Callithrix jacchus: one gene and its partner. The protein of the gene in region 1 binds, or shares a complex with, the protein of each later gene. Links are inferred from orthologs where the notes say so. Each region holds a gene or a part of one and is shown on either strand. Other genes may lie near its edges.

Region 1 (4,800 bases):
GATGGTCCAAACTAAGTCGTAGTAGAAATGCTGAAACATGGTCAGATTGTGAATATGTTTTAAAGGTGGGACCAAGAAGATTTGCCAATGGATTGGATGTTGCAAGCAAGGGAAAATGGTAGTCCAATGGTTACTATAGGATTTTGAACCTGAGCAATTTTTTAAAAAGCCTCATTTATAATGAGAAGAGGAGTTGAAAGAAGTAAAGACAGTTCATTGAGGTAGGAGAAAGAAATGGAAGAGTTGGAAAGAGTATATAGGATGAGGATGGGGAAAATACTATAGTTTGTAAACTGATTAAAAGAGCAGCACCTATGGATTCAAGCTGCCCAGGTTTGAATGCTGGCTTCTTGTCTATGTGACCTTGGACAGTGTTTGGCACATAGTAAGTGCTTATTGTTAGCTGTTACTTGAATTTTTTAAGTAGTAGATAGGTTTGTTTTGGTGTTTGGTTTGGTTTTGGTAAAAGATGGAGGGAAACTTAAGGAGAAAGAATAATACTTGAACATACCTGTCTTCAGACTCTGAATTGAAGTTTGTTTTATAAACCAAAATATATTAGCGTTTTGTGGTAGTTTTTGTTTTTTTGTAATAAATGAGAAAACTATAGTTAGTCTAAAATTGCTTTTAATCAGAAGCTAAAGTATCTCAGAAATATTTTCCCTTCCTGAAAATCATTTTGAAAATTAAAATTACGTGTTGGTCCAGAAGTTTTACTTTGCTGGTATAGCAACAAAATAACCCGGGAGGCGGAGGTTGCGGTGAGCCGAGATCGCGCCATTGCACTCGAGCCTGGGTAACAAGAGCGAAACTCCGTCTCAAAAAAAAAAAAAAAAAAATCTGGAATGGATACTTAATTTGGTGCTCAGAAAATGTCGAGGCTGAAAAATGAAAAAAAATGTTCACTGGTTGCCACAAAGAAGGAAAATTAGTGAACACAGAGGTTGGGATTGAAATTTAAGATCATGTTTTTACAGTTTTCATTTGTATGTTTCTAAGCTGCCAAGAGTAAAGAAATTTTTTTTGAACGTTAGGTTTCACAGTGATTCAATTAACAAATACGTTTGAATACTGGAGATAAAGTAACAAATAAGGTGACATCCCTACCCTTATACACCTTATGGTCTGGCAAAGTACATAGATAGAAAATACGAATTTGCAAATGTGATGACTGTCACAAAAGTAAAGTATGAAGTGCAATGGGAATAAATAATGAGGTTACTTAAAGCAGAATGAGGGTCCCAAAAGGCCCAACTGAGCACAAGTGACTTCTAAATTAAGACTTTAAGGATGAATAAGAAGAACTTAATGGAAATTAGAGGGAACTAAATAAAAGTTGGAAATTTTCCTTCCTAGAACATTGGTAGACTGAATCAGAGCTTACAAATGTGATGTTTCCTTTTAAACTTAAATAATTGCTCATTTTTATTGCTGGGCATATATAATTTGTGTATGGTAAAGCTTGCAAGTAAGGAAGAAATACATGGGTGTTCTAGGATGCATTGTGTTTTTTTGAGACCAGTGGAGATGTTTTTAGAATTGTAATCAAATCATCAAAATGTAAAACTGCATGAAACTAGGGATACAGAAATTAGATCTTTCCTGATCATCTGGAGGCAAGCTTCTAAGTACAATTCCCTGATCAGCTGATAGACAAATGATAGAGTTGGGCTGGAGATTCCACCTATTCGAAAGGAACTTTGTTCCTATGAATTTTATCTCTCACTATGCTGTGAACATGTTTACTTTTGTTTTTTACCTTTTTTTTTTTTTTTTTGAAATGGAGTCTTGCTCTCTCACCTAGGCTGGAGTACAGTGGTGTAGTCTCAGCTCACTGTAACCTCTGCCTCCCAGGTTCCAGAGGTTCTCCTGCCTCAGCACCCCCAGTAGCTGGGAATACAGGCATGGGCTAATTTTTGTATTTTTATTAGTGACTGGATTTCACCATGTTGGCCAGGCTGGGGTCTCAAACTCTTGACTTCAAGTGATCTGCCCTTTTCGGCCTCCCAGAGTGCTGGGATCACAGGCGTGAGCCACCGCGCCTGGCAGTTTTGGTTCTTAAGAATAAGAGAATAACTTCTGTATACTCTGTTATGAGCACTGGGTAATTGAAATCATTTGTTTTGTTGTTCATTTTCAAATGTGTTCTTTAATTATGAATCTTGGCTTTTTTAATACTTCATAGTACTTAATGTGGTTCCTGTGTTTAATCTACTTTCTGGATTCTTGTATGTTAACTTATATGTAATTAATTTTCTATAAGTCCTGCCTTACTTAGTGGTAACTGCCTAAAGACAAAGTAATAGAGGGAAGTGTGTTTTCCAAAATGTTACTGTTGTGTCTCTCCATCTGTATCTTCCTTTTTCTTTGAGATGGAGTCTCACTCTGTTGCCCTGGCTAGAGTGCAGTGGTGCCATCTCAGCTCACTGCAACCTCTGCCTCCAGGGTTTAAGCGTTTCCCCTGCCTCAGCCTTGTGAGTAGCTGGTACTACAGGCACGTGCCCCCCACACCTGGCTGATTTTTTTTTTTTTTTAGTAGAGGCGGGGTTTCACCATGTTGGCCAAGCTGGTCTTGAACTCCTGACCTCTGGTGATTTGCTAGCCTCGGCCTCCCAAAGTGCTGGGATTACAGGCATGAGCCACTGTGCCCAACCTGTGTTTTTGTTTTCTGACATAGTTCATTCTTTTTAGTTCCATTGTAGCTACAAATTAGTACTTGTCTTTTCTCACTGAAGACTAAAAACCAAAGTAGTTTTACTGGTTTCTCAGAAGTGACTTTTATTTTAAACATCTTTTGAAGTCAGTAAAGATATTATCTTTGGAGTAGTTATTGGAAACCTAATTTTAGGGGCATGAGAATGTTAAAAAACCTTAATAAAATGGCATCTCTTGGTTTTAAAATACAATTTTTTAATACATGTTTTTAATTTTGTTTTAGCACCTTCTAAGTGAGCAACACAGAAACTTTGCACAGAGTAACCGGTATCAAGTTGTTGATGATATTGTATCTAAGTTAGTTTTTGACTTTGTGGAATATGAAAAGGACACACCTAAAAAGAAAAGGTAATTAGTGCTATCAACCTAAATTTTAAATTATAGTAGAAGGCTGGGCGTGGTGGCTTATGCTTGTAATCCCAGCACTTTGGGAGGATCACCTGAGGTCAGGAGTTGGAGACCAGCCTGGCCAACATGGCGAAACCCTGTCTCTACTTAAAAAAAAAAAAAATACAGAAATTAGCCGGGTGTGGTGGTGCACACCTGTAATCCCAGCTACTTGGGAGGCTGAGGCAGGATAATCCCTTGAATCTGGGAGGTAGAGGTTGCAGTGCTCCAGCCTGGGTGATAGTGAGACTCCATCTCAAAAATAAATACATACATAAATAAAACAAATTATACTAGAATATTAAACTATTTTATTAAACTAAAAATAAACACAGTATGCCTGTTCTTAGAAGGAATATGTATTTTCAGGATGTAAATATGGTTAAAAACCAGTAACTTCTTCCCTTCCCTTTTTCCCTACTATCAAAGATGCTTACCTTAGACTACTTTTACTTCCATTGTTTTTAAGTTTTCTTTTTATCTAAAATTTTTTCTTTTTTAAATTTTTTGTTTAATTTTGAGACAGAGTCTCGCTGTATCACCCAGGCTGGACTGCTGTTGCATTCTCTCGGCTCACTGCAACTTCTGCCTCTGAGGTACAAGAGATTCTCGTGTCTCAACCTCTTGAGTAATTGGGTTTACAGGCATATGCCACTACACCCCACTAATTAGTCTCATTCTTGACATTGTAGTTTAGAAGGAGTTGATGGACTTTTCCCATAAAGAGCCAGATATTTGATATTTTAGGTTTTGTGAGCCATAAGATCTCTGTTGCAACTAATTAGCTTCTTTATTTTACAATGGATATGGCTGTATTTTGATACAATTTTATTTGGAAAAATAGACTGTAGTCTAGATTTTGGCAACAGACTATATAGTTCATCAACTCCTGTTATAGAACCATAAAGTTTAACGTTTATTCGGACTAAAAAGTTTTATCAAACTTTTAGGTAATATTAAGGAGTTTTAAGAAACCTTCCTCCACTTGCCTCTTAGGTCTTTATACTTTCACGAAATATCTTTACCTAACCCTTATGATGGGTATATTTACTGAAGATACCGACAGGACTTTTAAGTGTGAATACAGTACTGCCCAGTGTACCCTGACTGTGTGTGGACAAAAATTATCCTGATCAGATTATTCCCATAAACTTACAAAGAAATGCTTTTGTATGAATATACCCTAGAGGTGGTGATAACTCATTAAGTTAGTCTTTATTTTTAGAGTACTCTTACTTAAGGCATAAAGAAGATTAGAAATGTGATACCCAGATACAGCTTCTGAAAATTAACTAGAAAGTTTTTTGACTTCAGGTAGAAGAGTTCTTAAATCCCAAATTTCTGTGACATTCAGAATAGTTTCATGACTGACTTAATATGGATTTGAAGAGGAGGTATATTTCCAACTATTAAAACTATGTGAGCTGTGGCTGGGCGCGGTGGCTCACACCTGTAGTCCCAGCGCTTTGAGAGGCTGAAGCAGGCAGATCACTTGAAGCCAGGAGTTCCAGACCAGCCTGGCCATCATGGTGAAAGCCCATTTCTACTGAAAAAAAATTAGTGGTGACACATGCTTGTAATCCCAGCTATTCAGGAGTCTGAGGCACAAAAATCACTTGAACCTGAGAAGTGGAGGTTGCAGTGAGCTGAGATCAGGCCACTGCACTCTAGCCTGGGTTACAGAGAGACTCTTTCTCA
Region 2 (4,807 bases), on another chromosome or scaffold:
CACAGAGATAAGCTGTGTCTTCAAGGAAAGTCACTAGCTGGTAAATAGTGGAGCCAGGATTGTAATTTAAGCCCCCATCTCTAAAGTAGTACACATAATTGCTATTTATGTTGCCTCTTGCATTGAAATCCATGAAGGTTCTCCAGTCCACATATGAAATACATGGGAAGGTGAGAGTGATTTAAATAAGTTCTTTGCATTTCCTTAGACAAGTTGATATAGTGGAAAGAACACAGGAGTAGATCTACCTGGCCCCTTATTCTCCAGCCGTTAATGTTCCTCCTCCCCTTCACATCTGTTCTTCACTTTTCATTTTTCTGCTTAAAAACTTTGTATAGCTTTCATTTGCATTCTCTGCTCTTCTCTTCCTCAGCCACATTCTATTTCTTTTATTTATTTATTATTATTATTATTACTATTATTTTTGATACGGGTTTTGCTCTCCTATCACCCAGGCTGGAGTAAAGTGACACGATCATATTTTAGTAGCCTCAAACTCCTGGGCTCAAGGTATCCTTCTGCCTCAGTCTCAGTAGCTGAGACTACAGGCATGTATTACAAAGCCCAGCTAATTTTTTTTTTTTTAAGAGATAGGTCTCAAAACACCTGGCCTCAAGCAGTCTTCTTCCTTTGGTCTCCTAAAGTGCTGAGATTAGAGGCCTGAGCTACCACCCCAGGCCACATTGTATGTCATTGTCTCTCAGCCCTCTCCCCCACCCTAATCATCCAAGCCTTATTTTCTTTTTCTTTTTCCCTGTCTTTACACAGTTAATTTTTTCTAAAATGTTTTCTTCCACTTTCACAGCTTGATTAATAGTTCAGAACAAAACTTAGCTGTCAACTGAAGCCTTCCTAGCACCTTCAGAAATCCTCCCCAACCTAATAGATTATGCATTCTTTTATTACAGGTATCACCTTGTATTAAGAGTGAATGTTTCCTCTACTGGACTAATGGCTGCACCAAATTTATTAGTATTTTAAATATGCCCATTGCTGAGCATTTTTTAAAACAGTGTTTAAATGAATGATTTCTGGCCAGGTGCGGTGGCTCACGCCTGTAATCCCATCACTTTGGGAGCCTGAGGTAGGCCGATCACTTGAGGTCAGGAGTTTGAGACTAGCCTGGCCAACATGGTAAAACCCTGTCTCTACTAAAAATACAAAAATTAGCCGGGTGTGGTAGCACACGCCTGTAATTTCAGCTGCTCACGAGGCTGAGAATTTCTTGAACCTGGGAGGCAGAGGTTACAGTGAGTGAAGATTACGTCACTGCACTCCAGCCTGGGTGACACAGCAAGACTGTTTCAAAAAAAAGAAAACTAGAAAATATATATAATAAAAATAAAAGAATGAGTTCTGCAGACATTAGCAACACCTCTGTGAAAGTGAGCAAATGATTTAACCTCCCTAAGTTGAGTTTCCTTATCTGAAAAATCAGGATAATAATTCCTGTTCCACCAAGTTCACAGTACTATTGGGAAGATCTGTAAAGATAATGCTTGTGCAAGTACTTTGAAAATGTCTTAAACCTATGCAATGTAGGGCTAGTAAAGCCTAGGTACTGTAATAAAATCTGAAGACCCTTGGGTAGTTCTCTTCTGTATCCCGTCGTTTACTGGGTCTTTATTATTGCCTCTCTTATTTTAACCATGTACATTTTTATAAATAACTGATATTTATTTAAAAGTAGCAATTTATCTGCAGTCAAGGATAAAGGATACTACTGGCAATTGGGACAAATTAAAAAAAATTTTTTTTATATGCTTGAGAGCTTTAGTAGGCCTTCTCTCTGAAAATATAGTGTGAATATTCAAAACATAAAATTTCACCAAGCTTTTAAGATTTTGTCTTTACGGGAAATAGTTTTCAAGAGCATCACATTGTGTCCTTGGCATGCCATCTAGTGATCACAGCACAAATTGTTTAGTTATTTTAAAAATTTAGCTGCTTTATCGTGGTGTAATTTATACAGTAACAATGTATTTATTAGTATATAATTTCAGTATAGTAGAAATTTGGTGTATTTAATTCTGAGACTATTCTTTTTGTCTATTGGTTCAAGAGGTGTGTGTGTGAGTTATAGCAACTTGATAGGGGTTTAATCTTATCACAATTTTATTAAAACTTATTTATAATTAATTATTCATGTTTTAGAATTTATTTCATTGAGCTTTTTAAATTTTAAGAAACTATAAAATATACTGTCATTGATTAAAACTTTAAATTTTTGTTTCCTTGAAAGGTGTTAAAAAAGATATTGAGAAGCTTTATGAAGCTGTACCACAGCTTAGTAATGTGTTTAAGATTAAGGACAAAATTGGAGAAGGTAATATGCTTTACTATTTTTACAAGGTTTTTTTCCCTCCTGTTTTCCTTTTGTAATCTTGGTTTTCGTTACTATTTCTTATTAAAAATATGTACCGCTTTTTAGATTATTAAGACCATGGTTTTATTACCAATTATGATGACAACTTTTTCAACCTCAAAGAAAGAATAAATAATAGACATTTACAGTAAAATGAAGTCCTGTTTTAATCTATTATGCCATTGAAACAGTTTTTACAATCTATCTTAGAATTGTTTCATTAACATTTTTAAAAACCAGATATTGAAAATCTAATAAATTGTTTTACAGGCACTTTCAGCTCTGTTTATTTGGCCACAGCACAGTTACAAGTAGGACCTGAAGAGAAAATTGCTCTCAAACACTTGATTCCAACAAGTCATCCTATAAGAATTGCAGCCGAACTTCAGTGCCTAACAGTGGCTGGGTAGGCAATTTAAACATTTTAATTGAACTTGTATATAATTTATAAGATTTTAAAATAGATACTTAGCAGGGATGATGAAATTATATGTGAATTAAATGCCTTTTTCAGTCAAGTGTTTGCAATTTGCTAGCACTTTCTTTCTAACCTCGCAATGGTTAAATTTATAGTACTTCTTTCAGATTGGATTTCCCTTGAGGCTCAGCTTGATTTCCTGTCTTTTATCACTGCTTTTTGTAACCTTCCTGCTAAATCATAAACCTTGGCTTTCATGATTTACATTATTTTGTAAATGTAGGGAACTCATATTTCACATTTCCCCAGCTATTGACAACCTCATCTAATACTTTATTTAGAATAACAGAATCATCTGATATGGTTTCTCTCTGCTAGGTCATTTCTGTCAACATATGGACATGATCTAGTATCTCATCCTCCTAAACTGCCCTCCTTCTTCCACATGCTCCATCATTTCTTTGCTCCCCTTTATAGCCAGACTTCTCAAAAATTATTTACATACATTGTTTTCATTCCACACCTCCCTTTCACTAAATACTCATTGCGGCTGCTCTCCTCTATACTAAACTGGAAACTATAGAGTCAACCATTACTCTAAGCATCATTTAACACAATTGACTTGAACCCTTGTTTTGACTTTGGTACTGCCGTACCCTCCTTGCTTTCTTCTTCCCTCATTTGGCTTTTCATTTTCAATGTCTGCCAGCTCTTCCCTTTCTACCTGACCCCTACATGTTGGAGTTCCTCGTGCTCGCTCTTGGGTTTCTCTGTATTCGCTTTAGTGTCCTCCATTTCCACTTGGTGTAAAGTAATGATTCCCAAAAGTATATAGTTAATCTCAGACCTTTTATCTTAACTACAGGTTTGTATATATCCACCTGCCTATTTAACATTTCCACTTGGTGCCTGATAAATACTCAAACCTAATATGCTAAAACTAAACCTTAACATGCCAAAAAAAAAACCCACCACAGAAAATATTTTATCTACCTGTCTCTGCAGATGGCCCAATCTACACACTTGTTCAGGCCAGAAACCTAGAAATCATCCTCATTTTCTCTGTTTCTCTCCTAAACCACATTAATCACTAAGTCCTAGCTGTTTTGCCTCTAAAATGTATCTAGAACTTCATCCATGTCTTTCTATCTTCTCTGCCACTACCTCAGCTGAAGCGTAGACTACTACTGTAGCCTGCTTCTTCTTTCTCCCCTTAATTCTGTCTTCACACAGCAGCCAGAATGATCTTTCAAATATAAAATACTTATGTGTCTAACTTAAATTGGGTCATTAATTCCACCACTTAAAAATCTTTCAATGGTGTTTCAATGTGTAGTTTGAAAAAAAATTCAACCTTCTTATGCCCATCTTCCCACCTCCCTCACTGTGCTCCATTTCTCTAGTTTCTCAGATTTGTTTCAATAGCTTTCTTACCTCAGGGCCACTGCCCAGACTGTTTCCTCATTTGGGAAGACTTCTCCCAGTCTTTGCCTGCTGACCTTTCCTCTTCTGATCTGAGCAAGAGTGAAACTAGGCGCAGTAGCTCATGCTTGTAATCCCAGCACTTTGGAAGGATTATTTGAGGCTAGGAGCTTGAGACCTGCCTGGGCAACATAATAAGATCCCATCTGTACAAAAAACTTAAAAGTTAGCCAGGCATGCTGGCACACACCTGTAGTCCCAGCTACTCGGGAGGCTGAGGTAGGAGGATCACTTGCACCCAGGAGTTCGAGGCTGCAGCGACCTGTGATCACACTACTGCACTCCATCTAGCCTGGTCAACAAAACGAGACCTTATCTCTAAGGAGAAAAAAAAGAGTAGCACTGCTTGAAAGATGTCTTCTCTGAATTAAGTTAGATTCTCCTATTTTTTTGTTGTTGTCACATCGTCTTTTGATTTCTTTCAAAGCCCTTACCATAATCTGTCATTATAAATTACCTTGTTATTATCTGTATTGTCACTAGATAGTAAACTCCATGAGGCCAAAAATTGTGTAAATTTTATTCACCATTGTATCACTAAT

The links. Proteins that work in one complex are often made in the same cells at the same time.
Region 2: the proteins of DBF4 (region 1) and CDC7 are in contact, whole or in part, in a crystal structure (PDB 6YA8), measured with the Homo sapiens proteins. The link is inferred for Callithrix jacchus from reciprocal best matches to the Homo sapiens genes DBF4 and CDC7. Residues at the interface, in NP_006707.1 of Homo sapiens: Thr210, Arg211, Thr212, Gly213, Arg214, Leu215, Lys217, Pro218, Phe219, Val220, Lys221, Val222, Glu223, Asp224, Met225, Ser226, Gln227, Leu228, Tyr229, Arg230, Pro231, Phe232, Tyr233, Leu234, Leu236, Met239, Pro240, Ile242, Asn243, Tyr244; in NP_001127891.1 of Homo sapiens: Asn56, Val57, Phe58, Ala77, Gln78, Leu79, Gln80, Ile87, Ile93, Pro94, Thr95, Ser96, His97, Pro98, Ile99, Arg100, Ile101, Ala102, Leu105, Gln106, Thr109, Lys121, Tyr122, Cys123, Phe124, Arg125, Asn127, Asp128, Val130, Leu143.

Annotation. Positions count from the first base shown.
Region 1 is NC_133512.1:61,833,911-61,838,710, reverse strand, and holds part of DBF4 (protein DBF4 homolog A), read left to right. Parts: intron 1-2,938; coding exon 2,939-3,063; intron 3,064-4,800. UniProt on the Homo sapiens protein: Regulatory subunit for CDC7 which activates its kinase activity thereby playing a central role in DNA replication and cell proliferation. Required for progression of S phase.
Region 2 is NC_133508.1:128,965,016-128,969,822, forward strand, and holds part of CDC7 (cell division cycle 7-related protein kinase), read left to right. Parts: intron 1-2,242; coding exon 2,243-2,326; intron 2,327-2,635; coding exon 2,636-2,771; intron 2,772-4,807. UniProt on the Homo sapiens protein: Kinase involved in initiation of DNA replication. Phosphorylates critical substrates that regulate the G1/S phase transition and initiation of DNA replication, such as MCM proteins and CLASPIN.